Linked DNA regions of Stegostoma tigrinum. The protein of the gene in region 1 interacts with the protein of each later gene in a pairwise test. Links are inferred from orthologs where the notes say so. Each region holds a gene or a part of one and is shown on either strand. Other genes may lie near its edges.

Region 1 (7,544 bases):
ACATCAAAAAAAAACAATCAGTACATGATACAACAGCACTCTCTTGGTGTTGTAATGGAGCATGAGTGTCCATTTTGTGCACAAATGCCCGGATTCTTCTGACCTATCACTGAGATGCATAAAGTCTGAAACAATAACGAAAAATGTTGTTGCCTCACCTGTCAGCCTGGTTTGAGAGAAACAACTCTATTGACCTCTCACTTATAGCTCCTCATCACGTGAAGAGGTGCACCCACGCACTATCTCACTAGAATAACTAACCAGTTTCCTGAGGCACAGCGGAGGTCTCAACACCATTTGGAAGTGCAACCAGGCAAGGAGCCAGCAACTTAAGTATAGGAATGGGGGAGGGAGGAATGCTGTAAATTAGTGAGAATTTCACTGTTGTGAATATCATTAAGTGAGAAGTGATTTTTGTGTTAATTTGTTTGATATTTGGGTATCCATGGCAAGAATGGGATTTATTATCGATCTTTCAAAATGTGATTTTAACCTTCGTCTGCATAAAAGTTCCATGATGTGGAGGGGGGAGGAGATGTAGTTTTACTTTCAGATTTTGAGCCATATTAATGAAGGAACAGAGTTACGATTCCAAGTCATAATGGGATTCTTAGAGCTGGTAATGTTCCAAGGTCTTTGTCCTTCTTGGTGGAAGCTTCAGTTTGGGAGGTGCTGGTAAAATAAATGCCACTTTAGGGATGATTACTCAATCAGAGATGGCAAGAACTGTAGATGCTGGAGTCAGAAACAACGCAGTGTGGAGCTGGAGGAACACAGTAGTCCCAGGCCAGGCAGCATCAGAGGAGCAGGAAAGTTGACGTTTCGGGTCGGGTTGTTTCTGAAGAAGGGTCCCGAGCCGAAACGTCAACTTTCCTGCTCCTCTGATACTGCCTGGCCTGGGCCTGCTGTGGTCCTCCAGCTCCATACTGTGTAGTCTCTACTTTAGGGATTTACTTCAATCCAGATTTGCTGGGTGGACTGAATAGATAAGGTGGGCTACGTTGTACTGAATTGGCTTTAAGCTTCTTGAGTGGTGTTGGTGCTGTCCACTACCTTGGGTAGAAAAGTTTTGGGGAGTAACTTGTCCCAGACTTCCCAACTGTTTATGTGGCTTTGTGGCTTAGCGTTTATGTATATTTCAAGCATATCCCATAGGTTGTATAGTAACTCAAGTTGGCATGCAGTGATGACTGCAAACGCCTAATTGAAAGTCTCTCCACTTAGAACAAAAGGTAGATTTACAGGGTGGGAGCCATGTGGTGTGCTGTTTATCAAAGGATGTCGGTTTTTTTTAAAGAAAGGATTTATATATATGTATATATGAGTTAATAAGTAACAGCAATTATTGATGTATTAGCCTGCACCTGCCTTGGGGATTGGAAATGGGACTCTCTCAGGTGGTGATAGTATGCTTTGAACTGAGAGGCTAGGCAGGTCCACAGTGGTCTCGGACGTTCCGCGTCCTGCTTATATGCAGTCCCCGACCGCCCTGTCAGAAACAGGGACACTTCCAAACTCTCCGTTTCAAGCTCTTGTTCAATAGAAAAGGAGCCTGCTACTTCTTGCAATGTTCCGGGAGCCGTTAGGTGCATTGCAATAAAAGCCCACTGGGGCTTGCTCTATTGCTTTGGGAAATGGGGTACAGCGTGGTCGATCTGCAAACTTACCCCTACAAACGTACGCAAACCAAATTCCCGTTTGTTTTTTTTTAAAAAGTTCAGCATGGAACGGTGTAGATGTTTTTAATAAACCTGCTGGGACGCATTGGGACAAGGACCGGGGCTTGAACCCAGATTTTCTGGCTCAGAGACAGGGACACGACCGCTGCACCACAAGAGGAAAAGCTAATCTAGATGGAGCCAACTCACCCCAAGTCTGGCTGTTGAAGAGTCCCTGGGGACAATGAGGAAAGTGGTACCTCTTGATACGTTTGTGATCACGTTTGGGCTGAACATTGAGACCATGTGGGGGCAAGTGGGGGGTGGCAGGAAAACTGTGATTCGGAAATCTGGCAGAGGCTGTGAAGGGCAACGAGCAAGCCAGAAAAATCAAGAGCGTGGCGTGGCCCATCGAGCTTGGGAATGAATAGTTTTTCTTCACTGTGGCTACTAACACGTTTACAGTTGCTGGAAATCCCCGAGACAAGTCTTGTCCATTGAGTTCAACGCGCACACACAAAAAAATACCCGTGACTGCAGATCAAGTTTAAGCTTGTGCAAAGAGAAACGGGTTGGTAAAATAGGTTTTAGGGACGAGTGCACTTTTTTTGAAAATAAAGGCACAAGGTGAAACAGGGGAGGGGAAGATGTGGATTAAGCAATACGATGTAACATAACCCCGCTGTGTCCAAGTCAACATACAAAAGATAGCACACACACACACGAGACGGTTGCACCGCGTGGATTTTTTGGCGTTGTTTCTTTTCTCTGCGCACTTTTTTTTAACGTAGAAGTTTTTTTCTAATTTTCGCAACGAAATGCATTGCCCGTGGTGGGAAGCAGATTCCGGAATAATTTGGCTGCACCGAAGACGAGAAAAGATCAAGATGAGCGGGGGTTAACTTTTGGACAGGTTGAATGGCTTATTTGTTTCACATCTACAGTTGGGGTGCAGCTCCTGATGCTGAGCTACCCAGACATCCCTTGGCTAACCCTAAACCACCTCCCCCCCCCCCCCCCCCCCCATTTCCCCTGCAGTCTTGAAGAAATGAAGCTTGATCGCCGTGAACATGTTTACAAGCGACCACCAGTGTAAAATATGCTAATTTCATTAAAAAGTGTGTGCTTAGAACGGCGATTATATACGCCTGTCCATAATATATTTAACATATTTAAAGGGAGTTGACGTTTTTGTTTGTTTAAAAAAAGGCTATTTGACTGGGGGAGGCAGCACGTCATTTGAAGAAACTTTCAGGAACCCGTCCAATCAGAGCTGATGATGGCTGGTTCGCGTCCAACTCGGAGGAGGTCAGGTTAGGAACGCGAAGAGCTACCGCCCGAAATTGTGGAGGCCGGAAAAGTTGGCTGCTGATACGGTGTATGGAAGGGTGGGTGGGTGGGTCATGGGTCGTCTGTCTGGGTCAGCCGCCTTTTCCCTTTCTCACCTTCCGAGTCAGGGGACGTGCGGTCTTCACGTGTATTCAACTGTGGATGACCCCCGCCGCTATGGGAATCTTAGAGAGAGTTGAGCCGAAAGGGGCTGAACCTCTACTGTAATCCTTCGATAACACTGGCCCTTTATTTAGAGGGTGGGGGGGGGTGTGTGTGAACATGATCTCGTATTCCTTCCAACCGGAGCCTTCTCTTGGATGTTTAAAACAAAGCAGAATTCTCAAAAACATCTTTCGAGAATTTCTCCCGAAGCGATCCTGCCTAAAAGGATATCCTATGCCCACTGTTAATGTGGGAGACCGGGCTCATCGGAGACGCGTTCTTTTAAATATGTAAATAAAGTGTAACGCGGGGCGAACTAACAACGGAAACAGAAAGGGCACAACCCCGAGTCGTCTACCCACCTTCCCCCCCGCCACCCCATTCATTGCTCGATATTGTTTTAAGGGTCTGATCGGGGAGGCTGAGGAATTTGTTATTGGTGGATGTCCCTGTCCCCAGCGTGGTTCAATCCGTCTGCTGTCACGTTCCCCTCCCCATGGTCAGACTGTGAAAAGCAGGCTCTGTCTGTGTGGTCTTCGCTAGCGTTTTGCCAAAGGGACCTCACGTTACCCCGCACGGTGTCTTTAAGGCGGAGCCAAATATCAGCGTTCAAGGTGCGGAGAGCTAACAGCCTTAGAAAGAGAGAACACACACATAGATGTTAATCTGCACTCACTATCATAATTAGTCTGAAGTAATGGGGGGGGGGTGTTAACTTCAATTAAAGAGGGGCATTCAGATTATTTTTTCAGCCAGGAGCGAATGAGCTCTGAATTTCCAATAAAAAGTGATGTATATTAACCATCACACATCCACCCTCCCCTCCCTCGCTATGGATATGCAACGAACAGCCACCGCCAACAAACCGTACTGTCTCTGTTGCAGTTGCATTTTACTCCGGACTGACAGTGGCTTCACGTTGAGGACGGATCGCTCACGTTTCCCGCGGGCGCTGAAGTTGTCAGATCGATCGGTCTGCGGCCAAGGCGTTTTTTTTTGCCTGGGAATCTGCAAACAGTGGTCAAGCCCAGGACACTGTGCAATGATAGCAGTGCATGGTCCGGTGGGACATCTCTCGCTTATCTGTTGCACCCCAAACCCCCAAACCTCAGCTTCTAACTGGATGTGGCCGACTTGAAAGTCTGAGACAATATTTATCACCGCAGACGCGATATAGATAGAAAGGGGCAATCTGCATGTCGGATTTCCCGTCTGACTCGGTGCTCATTGATGGTTGCAATTTTTAATAAAAAAACAGGCACAACGCAACCGTTTCACCCATTTTTAGCCCATCAGCCTTGCTAAATGTCATGAGCTATGTTTTAGCCGGGGGGGGGGGGGGTTGGAAATGAATTACAGTCTTGCTTCACTTCACATGTTCTACTGGGAAGCGTGACCTGAAAAACATATAGGGTGACTTTACGACAATACCCATCAAGCTGCACGACTCGCTGAACTGACCAACGCGACCAACGCAGAGAAAACAGAAACCCACATGCTGGAATTGTCAGTGATCGGTTGATAATCAATCACTTCCAGGCATCACATTGTGGGGGGCCCTGTGAGGTGAAGGAGAAATGTTGATACATGCATTTTAAAACACAGGCACGCAATATTCCAGTCACGGACTGACGAGTTGTCCTACTTGTTTATTTTAAAATAACACAGCGTTAAATGTAATGTCCTTTCCCCCAACCCGGCTTGTTTTGGAGAAACAGATTAGAGGGATGTGAGCGGCCTCCTGTACACGTGAGTCTCATGTGACTTGAGCTTTTTTTTACTGTAAGAGGAAAGACGTGCCTGGAGTCACACGGTTGAACACGTAGCCCTGAACACCCACACGTTTCATTAAAGGCAGGCTAGTGTGGTGCAGTAAACTCCGGCTGATCACAGTCAGCAGGATACACTGAACGAGAGAGAGAGAGCTGGGCAGACAGACAGACAAGCCAGACAGATAGGGAAAAGGAAAGCCCCAGCCAGCCAGCAATCACTATACAAAGCAGCGAAATTACTGAAATGGACAGGATCACCGCTGGCCAGCCACCTCCTTGCCTGCCGAAAATCCCAATTTTTGAAAATAACGAGATGCAAGGGTATGCCTCTGAATTTTAATTTGTGTTTTAATTTTGCTTCATCGTGAACCGAATTTGCTCTTTAATTCTGAAAAGAGAAAATTCACTTGCCTGAGTTTCATTTTTTTTCTGCCTCTTTCCCCCCTCCAGAATGGAATTCTCTCACATGTTTGTTTATAAAGCCAAGAGGGGATTAAAGAGAGGTGACGACAGCAAGGTACAGTGTCCCTTTATCTTCTGTATATAGGCAGTGGTAGACTTGGGTTTATATCTGGATGGCGTTTTTAATTGCGGCATTGCAAATCGACCCTTGTTAAGTTACGCGCACTCATGGCAATTACTAACCCTCTTTTATTTTTAAAATCTCAGGAAACGTATAAATTACCACACCGGCTGATCGAAAAGAAAAGACGGGATAGGATTAATGAATGCATAGCCCAGTTAAAGGACATGCTGCCTGAACATCTCAAACTGACGGTGAGAGAAGCAAATTCAATGTGCTTTGACATAACTGGTTCACAGCATTAAAGACGCCGTTTGTCCTATCGATTCAATTGCTGAACTGGGGGGTCGGGGTGGGGGGGGGGGGAGGTGTGTAGATTATTTATGTAAACCTGCAATATCTCTTTCTGTTTTGCTTTCGAGTAAAATCGAAGATCCAAACGCGTTTAACGAAGGGGAAAGTTCAAAATTTGCTTTGAATAAAAATCAAAGGAAATTAGAATCTTAAATAGATTAAATGGATTGTTTTGGTAGCGGGTGAGGGGTTGGTGCAGAGAATATGAATTTTTTTTGCATAATGTACACGCTTGGGATTTCCTAGTTAGTTTCTGCAGTGCTGCTCCTCAGGAGCACCTGCAAAGTGATTCCAGTAAAATGGTTGCAGGAAATATTTATAATATGCTGTTCAGCCAGATCCCACTGATATAGAACATTTAACAATTAAAATCAACGTGAGTCTAGATTTTTATTGATTGGATATTAATTGTCTAGTTATTGGCATTTTTACGGTTGGTTACAATTCAGTTAGGTATTGTAATTTTTATGGTTAATTATTACATAGTAGTTGTATCAATGGTTTTCTTAATGGTTATTTTTGCAGTGAGTTACAAGGTTTCTTAATAGTTGCCCATGCCTTTTGATTTATGTATTTCAGTAACTGAGAATGTGAGATGCAAGTTGATCTTGTGTGGAACAAACAGGCTTGTCCTCAGCCTGCTTGTGAGGGTGTTTTTGTAGAATGCCACGTCATTTACCCTGTAAGTGATGTGCTCTTGTTAATAATGCACGCATCTTGATTTCAGACTTTGGGACATTTGGAGAAGGCTGTGGTACTTGAGCTTACCTTGAAACACGTGAAGGCATTGACTGGCCTCATTGAACAGCAGCAGCAGAAAATATTAGCCCTGCAAAATGGTCTGCAAATCGGTAAGTTCCGTATTCACCCTCTGAACATACCAGAAACTATTCGTTATTAGTTCCTCTAAAAATTAAATGAAAGATAAGATGTTTGAGTTAGTTTATGCTTTAGATAGGTTTTATTTTAGTGTTATGAAAAATTGTCTGATGACATTAATATATTTGCGACACCAACTTCTCGCCTCCTCTCGGTTCTGAATCTTTAATTTTAAACCTTGCAACTTGTTGTCATAGTGACAGGGTTGGTACAGTCCAAAATGGTGGTAGGAATGCTGCTGAATTTATTTCTCTTCTCGACAGTTCAGACATTGAGTGTTCCCAAACATGCTATTTTAAAGGTTTTGAGCTGCTTAAGAAATCTGCTTCTATTAATAAAGCACGATGGGAACTTTAAGTTGCACTGTATCAGAAACCAGACTGGCTGCCAATTGTAAACTCTGGTGAGCAAGCTAAAAATGGAAGCCACTGCATTCACCAAATTGAATTCTAGATAGACCTGAGGTGCAGGCACTGAGAGATGATTGAAACTGAAAAATTCTGCAAAGATCCTGAAGTGCAATTAGAGTGTGGCCTTTTTTTATTTCTAAGGGAAGGATTTTATGTAGGTCACCTGGTTTAACGCAGATTTCTTTGCTTCTCAGGTGAACAAACAGCCAAGGCGACTGAGTCAAGCCATGAGATGTTTCAGTCTGGCTTCCAGATGTGTGCCAAAGAGGTGCTGCAATTCCTGGCAAAGCATGAAAACCTGAGAGAGTTGAAGCCTGCGCACCTGATCAATCACCTTCAGAAGATGGGGGCAGACATCCATTCTGGGGGATGCATTAATGGGATAGGGCAGACCTCGACACGGTTCCCAGAAGGAGACTTCAGGTCCAAGCCCTTGAGTGAGGCTGAAGGTCCT
Region 2 (7,262 bases), on another chromosome or scaffold:
AGTTGTGGTCAGCGTGGAGAGTTGTTGCAGGTTGCAAAGGGACTTTGATAGGATTCAGAGCTGGGCATAGAAGTGACAGATGGATTTCAACTCAGAAAAGTGTGAAGTGATTCGTTTTGGAAGGTCAAATTTGAATGCAGAATACAGGGTTAATGGCAGGATTCTCGGCAGTGCGGAGGAACAGAGGAACCTCGGGGCCCACATCCATAGATCCCTCAAAGTTGCTACCCATGTTGATAGTGTTGTAAAGAAAGCATATGGTGTGTTGGCTTTCATCGACAGGGGAAATGAGTTTAAGAGCCGCGAGGTTATGCTGCAGGTCTATAAAACCCTGGTTAGACCACACTTGGAATATTGTGTTCAGTTCTGATCACCTCAATATTGGAAAGATGTGGAAGCTTTAGAGAGGGTGCAGAGGAGATTTACCAAGATGCTGCCTGGATTGGAGGGCAGCCTTATGAGGAAAGGTTAAGGGAGCTAGGGCATTTTACATTGGAGCGAAGAAGGATGAGAGGTGAATTGTACAAGATGATGAGAGGCATAGATAAAGTGGATAGCCAGAGACATTTCCCGAGAATGGAAATGACTATTATGAGGGGGCATTATTTTAAGGAGATTGGAGGAAGGCGTAGGGGAGATATGAGAGGTAGGTTCTTTACACAGAGAGTGGTGGGAGTGTGGAATGCACTGCCGGTAGTCGTAGTAGAGTGAGATACATTAGGGTCATTAAAGCAACTCTTGGATATGCACATGGATGATAGTAAAAGAGACAACAAAGTGTGAAGCTGGATGAACACAGCAGGCCAAGTAGCACCTTAGGAGCACGAAAGTTGACGTTTCGGGCCTAGACCCTTCATCAGAGAGGGGTCTAGGCTCGAAAGGTCAGCTTTTGTGCTCCTGAGATGCTGCTTGGCCTGCTGTGTTCATCCAGCTTCACACTTTGTTGTCTCAGATTCTCCAGCATCTGCAGTTCCCATTATGTCTGGATGTTAGTAAAATGTAGGATATGCAGGGTAGTTTCGCTCTCAGAATAGAATAATAGGTCGGTACAACATCGTGGGCTGAAGGGCCAGTACTGTTGTATATTCTATGTAATTTAGATTCATTAAACTCACTTTGTGTATTTCATCATATTTCTTTGCATTAAGTTTTGACTATTCTCTCTTTGCCTCTTTCATGAATCAACCTTCTTCCAACTATAAAATTGGGTGGGATCTTCCCATGCCATGAATGATGATGACTAATTTGGAAGGACTGAGTGAGATGTTGAATGGGGGCTTTCATTCGGAATCAACAATTCAAATTTTCCAACTGAGTTCCAGATGTGGAAAGAACATTCCCGCCAGTGAGAGGTGAGAGGCCTATTAATAGGAATGATTGCTCAGCCTCAACCTCACTTATGTGTAAGTACACCTTGTTTATCTGCAGACTTCTGTCTACCACCCTCCAAATGGAAACCAGTTGCAGAAATACTCAACAAAGAAAAAGTTTCTAGAAAAAGTTTCTAAGTGGGTGCCTGGCAATCCCAGCCCACTGCTTCAGCCTCCAGAAACCAAGCACCAAAGTCTCACTGCGGTCTCCATGGACAGTGGCCGCACACATTCTATGCCCACGGACATTGGCAGCCAAGACCATATCAGTCTTTCTGCAATCTCATGCCACACCTCCGACCCATTCGCAGTAAGCTCCATTCTGGAATGCATCAATCATTGCAGTGCTGCGCATGATAGACTTGGTGTGGGGGAATAGGCATCGATAAGGGGTTGGAACGTTTTGCATCTTGGGGATCCTCACATGCTGTCTCAGCATTCACTCACTTTGCTTAGATGTTTACAACATCCTCAGGTTTACCATGCCTCTTTTCCCTATGCTCCTTCAGGCAGAATGAAGGGATAGATCATATTTCTACCTTGACTTGCCTTCTTGTGCAGACACAAAGCCCGACATTCTGTTATGGTGGTCAGCAGTTCGTCAGACCAGGGGTTGGGCATGTTACTGTGTGGCACTATACTGAGTCAATCTCACACCTGCATCATATGTCAGCACTGTACATAGAAAATACACCACACGCGCAGCAAGAAAATAGACTTTACTCGAAGGCTCCAGAGGCTAGCCCGAAACATCAGCATTTGTGCTCCTAAGATGCTGCTTGGCCTGTTGTGTTCATCCAGCCCCACACTTTGTTATCAAGGTAAGAACCTCTTCAGCCATGGGGTGCTGTTACAGCTGGTCAAGAACAGCCCTTGATGTCACCTCAGGAGCTTGGACATGGTCATTTGGCCAACTGGGATGGCCATTCACCTCTTTGTAGCTGAGGGGCTGAATGTCAAGCAGCACAGCACCCATCTGGTTCATTCTCCCCACATCATGGACTATTTTCTCCTGGAATGAGAGAAAGGGAGGGTTTGAATGAGATTAAGGTAGGAGGCAGAACTGGTAGTTTTGGAGCAGGTGGTCAGAAGCTGATGCTAGAAATGATGGGTTAGTGGTACTATCACTGGACTGTTAATCCAAGGAACCAGATAATGTCTTGGGGAGCCAGGTTTGAATCCCGCCGTGGCAGGTGGAGATTGAATTCAATAAATATCTGGAATTAAGAGTCTAATGATGATCGTGAATCCATTGTCGATTGTCAGAAAAACCCTGATGCAGGGCAGTTTTGCTCTCAGAGTAGAATAATAGGTCGGTACAACATCGTGGGCTGAAGGGCCAGTACTGTTGTATGTTCTATGTAATTTAGATTCATTAAACTCACTTTGTGTATTTCATCATATTTCTTTCAGAAAAACCCATTCAGTAATGTCCCTGAGGGAAGGAGACTGCCATCCTTACCTGGTCTGGCCTACATGTAACTCCAGACCCACAGCAATGTAGTTGACTCTTAACAGCCCTCTGGGCAATTAAGGATGGACAATAAATGCTAACTGGCCAGTGTTGCCGTCATCCCATGAATGAATAAAGAAAAAAAAGTGGCCTGAGTGAGTGAATAGGCAACCCAGAGGCCATGGTGTGAGGGAATTGGGTGGGTGAGAATGAGTGAGGAAAGATGCTTCACACAATACTGAGACTGGTATGGTAGGAAGAGGGTATAGTGGCAGAGATAGAGTGAGAGTAAGGTAGCAGAGTGAAGGTGGTGGTAGTCTTCCTGGCAGAGTGGGGAGGTCATTGACCTTCTTCTAGCGGTGCTGTCTTCCTTCCAGCCAGATGCCTGCAATTGCATTGACCTGGGTGGTAAATATGTGCCTTAGGCTGGCAGACTTTAGTGATGTGCCCTACTCTGTCAATCTTGGCGAAGGGGTAGTCCTAACCTTGCATCACTCTCTCCGGTGGAGCTCCAAGCCCCTGCCCACAAAGCAGGCACCAAATTCCCTTCTCTCCCATGCCAGGCTGAATGTCACCAAATGCTTGACCAGGTGAACAATGACCTTTTAAAAGTGGTACCAATACAAGGTCAGTGATAAGCACTTTCAGTTACAGCGAGTGGGAGAACGAGGTCAGTATCAGACAAGAGGGAAACTATTGGAATGTGGTAAATCGTCAATGGGGTGAGTTTGGAAACTGTAACATGAGAATACTCTTTAGGCTTTGCAAAGTGAAACTCTCTGTGCAAGTCAACAAAAATGACACTTTGCCTGAAGAAAAGGTAAGATTCAGCCCATATTTATTTCATTTAGCTTAGTGTTCAGATAAGCTTAATTTATTGTTGGATTGGGTAACCAGCACTACCCTTCTAACATGCCCCTTTCAATCGCTTAACCTTTGTCAGGTTTCTGGAGCCTTCCATGAAACATTCTCGTGCCTTTGCATTCACTAATGCTTTAGGCCAGTGCCAGAGTCTACTGTTCAGTGTGCAGAAATTCAAGAGACTGATAACACGCTGATATCTTTTAGCGAGTCTCACAAGTAATGGCAACTCCTCTTCAGCTGTCACACTTTGACGGACAATGGCATCTGTTTTCCAAAAATAAATCCACTGGCTGCACCCAGCTCATTTCTCAAGGGGATAGAGACATTACACATGTAATGTTGCAGGATTGTTGTAATACCTGACCAAAAATTTTCCTTTTTCTTTGAAATGAGCTATGACTAACTATTCTGAATCATCGTCAGGAGTTAAAGGAATGTACAATAGTTTGTCTGAATTAACCTAGGCATCGTGTTTCACCAGGTGGGTGTTCTTGCTATTTTCATCCACAAAGCCGACGCTCCCCCCCCCCCCTCAACTCTCCTCACCATTTTTTGACTTGGTACAGGCTGGATGAGTCAGACCATTTATAGAGCTCACTTTTGACTGCCTGAACGTGTCAAGATTAGCTGAAGATTAGTGGCCAAGGTTAAAGCTCGTAGTGCTGGGCTCTTGCTCATTCTCTCAATGACGGTCGGTGACATGGATAAAGTAGAAATCTTCGATGCAGATGGCAAGGGCAGGGGGCTGAAGGCCAAGCAAGATCTTCTGAGTGGGGATGTGGTCTTTGCTGAGCCAGCGTATGCTGCGGTTGTGTTTGACAAGTAAGTACGTCTGTCTACTTGTCTTCCTACAAAGTCACCTTACATTGCTCCAGAATGCAAGTTATAGAATCAAGTTCAGGTGTTGGATAAGAGTTTTTATTTACATTTGATTTTAATACAGCAGCGCTTCTTCGACATTTCATTTCCTATTGACTGTTTAATTGATTGAGTTCCTTGTCTTCATTGACTGAATTCTGCAAGGAATGCCCGAAAACTGTTGTCTTTAATTCCACTGGATACTACAGTCTTCCAGTTGACAATGATCTAGCTTCACCATGAGCTGGTGGGACAATCATATGGGATCATTTTACGTTGCTACAGGGAGTTACTTGGCTCAGTTCTTTCCATTTGGGGGTTTTCAGGCCAAAGGTATTTCTTTAGGGAGAAAGGTTCAGAACCCAGAGTCAAACAGCACAGAAACAGATCCTTTGGTCTGACTTGTCCACTTTGGCCAGATATCCCAATCTGACCAAACCCTATTTGCCAGCATTCAAAGTGGGAACTGTCATTTATTTCATAGAAACCAATCAGGGCTGTTTTTGAAGTGGTTGTTATTAAAATGGAGGAAAATTGACAAAACCTCATTTTTTTAGTTGGCCTTTCCTAGTTGCTTGGGAAGGTGATGACAAGCATTTCTATTTAACTTTTTAATCCTTGCCTTGCTAAAGCTCCAATGTCGGTATTTGATGTGAAACTGCAGGGTTTGAACCTCGTAGTGTTCCAGAAGTGGCGCTTAAATTCAGGTCAGGATGATCTTGATATTGAGGAGAACTTGCAGGTGACGCTGTCCCTCCAATCCTGGTACTCTTATCCTTCTCAGTGTGGCCGAGACTGTAGACTGGGACATGACATTCGAAATGCGGCTAGAAAGTGGCTGCTGTTACCGTAACCTGCCGGGAGATTCATCCAGTGGCAGATCTCCCGATCAAGTGGATCACATTCCGTCCAGGATGGTTTAATGTTTCAGATATCCCGTTCACTATGTCAATCTAATCCCAACTTGAGCCTTGTAAGTTATAGAGTGCACTGAATGAGTGGGAAGTGAGTCACTTGTCAGAGTGATGGAGTTTTTGCTTTGTTCTTGTGTCTGTCTTGTTGCTTTGACTTAGCATACTCGACAAAGGATTTAGAATCACGGATTTGTGGAACTTCCGAAGGAGGCCTTTCAATCGATCATGTCTAAGATAGATCACAACAAAAACAAGTCACCTATTGCCATTCCTCTGCCTTTTCCCTGATAGAATCATAAAATGATCAATGGTGGAATGTTTATATGTAGTGCTGTTGGAGACTTAGGGAGAAATGCGAAGTGGTTACACAGTCTGCATTTGGATTCACAATGTGAAGGAAACTGCATGGTGAGCAATGAGTACAGAAGGCTGGATTGAAAGAAAAAGTACAAGAAAACTGCTGCCTCACCTGTAAGATGTGCTTGGGACCCCGAACGGTAAGAAAGAAGAGGGGACAGTTCCACTGTCACAATTCTACCAATGCATGGGGAGGGGGGCATGGGTTTGCTCTCAGTACAGCTGAGCTATTTCCTACTATTCACATCTATTTTGAATCCAGATCTCTCCTTTGTGGCCATTAGAATTCACTTTGCCTTTTGCTCCAGGCATTCTCATGATCTGTTCCCCTCACCCCCCGTCCACCTTTGTCAACAGCATAAAAAGCATTATTTTCCAGCCCTCTTCAATTCTGAGGAAGAATCACTGGATTTGAAATGTTTCTCTCTTCAGAGATGCTGCCAGGCCTGCTGTGTTTCTCTGCCACTTTCTGTTTTTATTTCTGATTCCCAAAGTCCACAGTACTTCAATCCCACATAACTGCTCTGCTCAATATGGTTTGCATCAGGTGTGTCTCTCCTGGGGGAAAGCAGAAATGTTTGTTGCAATGTCCTGAAAAGATAAAACATCCTGGTTGACTCTTAGGAAACCCTGGTTTGCACTCAGCCTGAGAGGGAACATTTGGGAAGACATAAACCACATTGAGACTTCACTGGGGATGTACAGAGGTCAAGTCAAGACATCAGAGAGTGAAAGTAAATAGCCCATTTGTCTCACCTTTCCTATCTGTGACAGAGTCTGCAGAACAAGCAATGGACTTATCAACCCTTTCAAAAGTTGGGAAGTTATGATGTAGTTGCTCTGGATCTTGGTGCAGTTGCACTTGGAGTATGGTGTTCAGTTTTGGTCACCTTGCTATAGGAAGGATGTTATTAAACTGGAAAGAGTACGGAAGAAATTTACAAGGATGTTACCAGGAGTCAAGGGACTGAGTTATTGGGAGAGGTTGGACAGGCTAGGATTTGTTTCTTTAGAGCGTAGGAGTCTGAAGGGTGATCTTATAAAAGTGTATAAGATCACGAGAGTCATGGTTTAGGGTGAATGCACTCAGTCTTTTTTCCAGGGTTGGGGAATCGAGGATTACAGGGCATCAGTTGAAGGTAAGAGGGGAAAGAATACTTTGGAACCTGAGGGGCAACTTTTTTACACAGAGGGTGGTACACATATGGAATGAGCTGCCAGTGGAAGTGGTTGAGGCAGGTACATTAACAACATTTAAAAGGCATTTGGATGAATACATTGAAAGGAAAGGATGAGAAAGATATGGGTCAAGTGCATGGAAATGGGGTTAGCGTGGATGGATATTTTGGTCGGCATGGACCAGTTTGGGCTGAAGGGCCTTTCTCCATGCTGTAGGACTCTATGGCCCTGTGACACTATATCCCATCAAACCATAGTGGATGCAAA

The links.
Region 2: the proteins of bhlhe40 (region 1) and histone-lysine N-methyltransferase Smyd1-like interact in binary tests that used the Homo sapiens proteins (3 or more experiments, as listed by UniProt). The link is inferred for Stegostoma tigrinum from reciprocal best matches to the Homo sapiens genes BHLHE40 and SMYD1.

Annotation. Positions count from the first base shown.
Region 1 is NC_081364.1:58,168,596-58,176,139, reverse strand, and holds the start of bhlhe40 (class E basic helix-loop-helix protein 40), read left to right. Parts: upstream 1-4,541; 5' UTR 4,542-5,168; coding exon 5,169-5,245; intron 5,246-5,374; coding exon 5,375-5,441; intron 5,442-5,593; coding exon 5,594-5,701; intron 5,702-6,528; coding exon 6,529-6,652; intron 6,653-7,284; coding exon 7,285-7,544. UniProt on the Homo sapiens protein: Transcriptional repressor involved in the regulation of the circadian rhythm by negatively regulating the activity of the clock genes and clock-controlled genes.
Region 2 is NC_081354.1:176,261,401-176,268,662, reverse strand, and holds the start of histone-lysine N-methyltransferase Smyd1-like, read left to right. Parts: upstream 1-4,245; 5' UTR 4,246-4,372; coding exon 4,373-4,509; intron 4,510-7,262. UniProt on the Homo sapiens protein: Methylates histone H3 at 'Lys-4' (H3K4me), seems able to perform both mono-, di-, and trimethylation. Acts as a transcriptional repressor. Essential for cardiomyocyte differentiation and cardiac morphogenesis.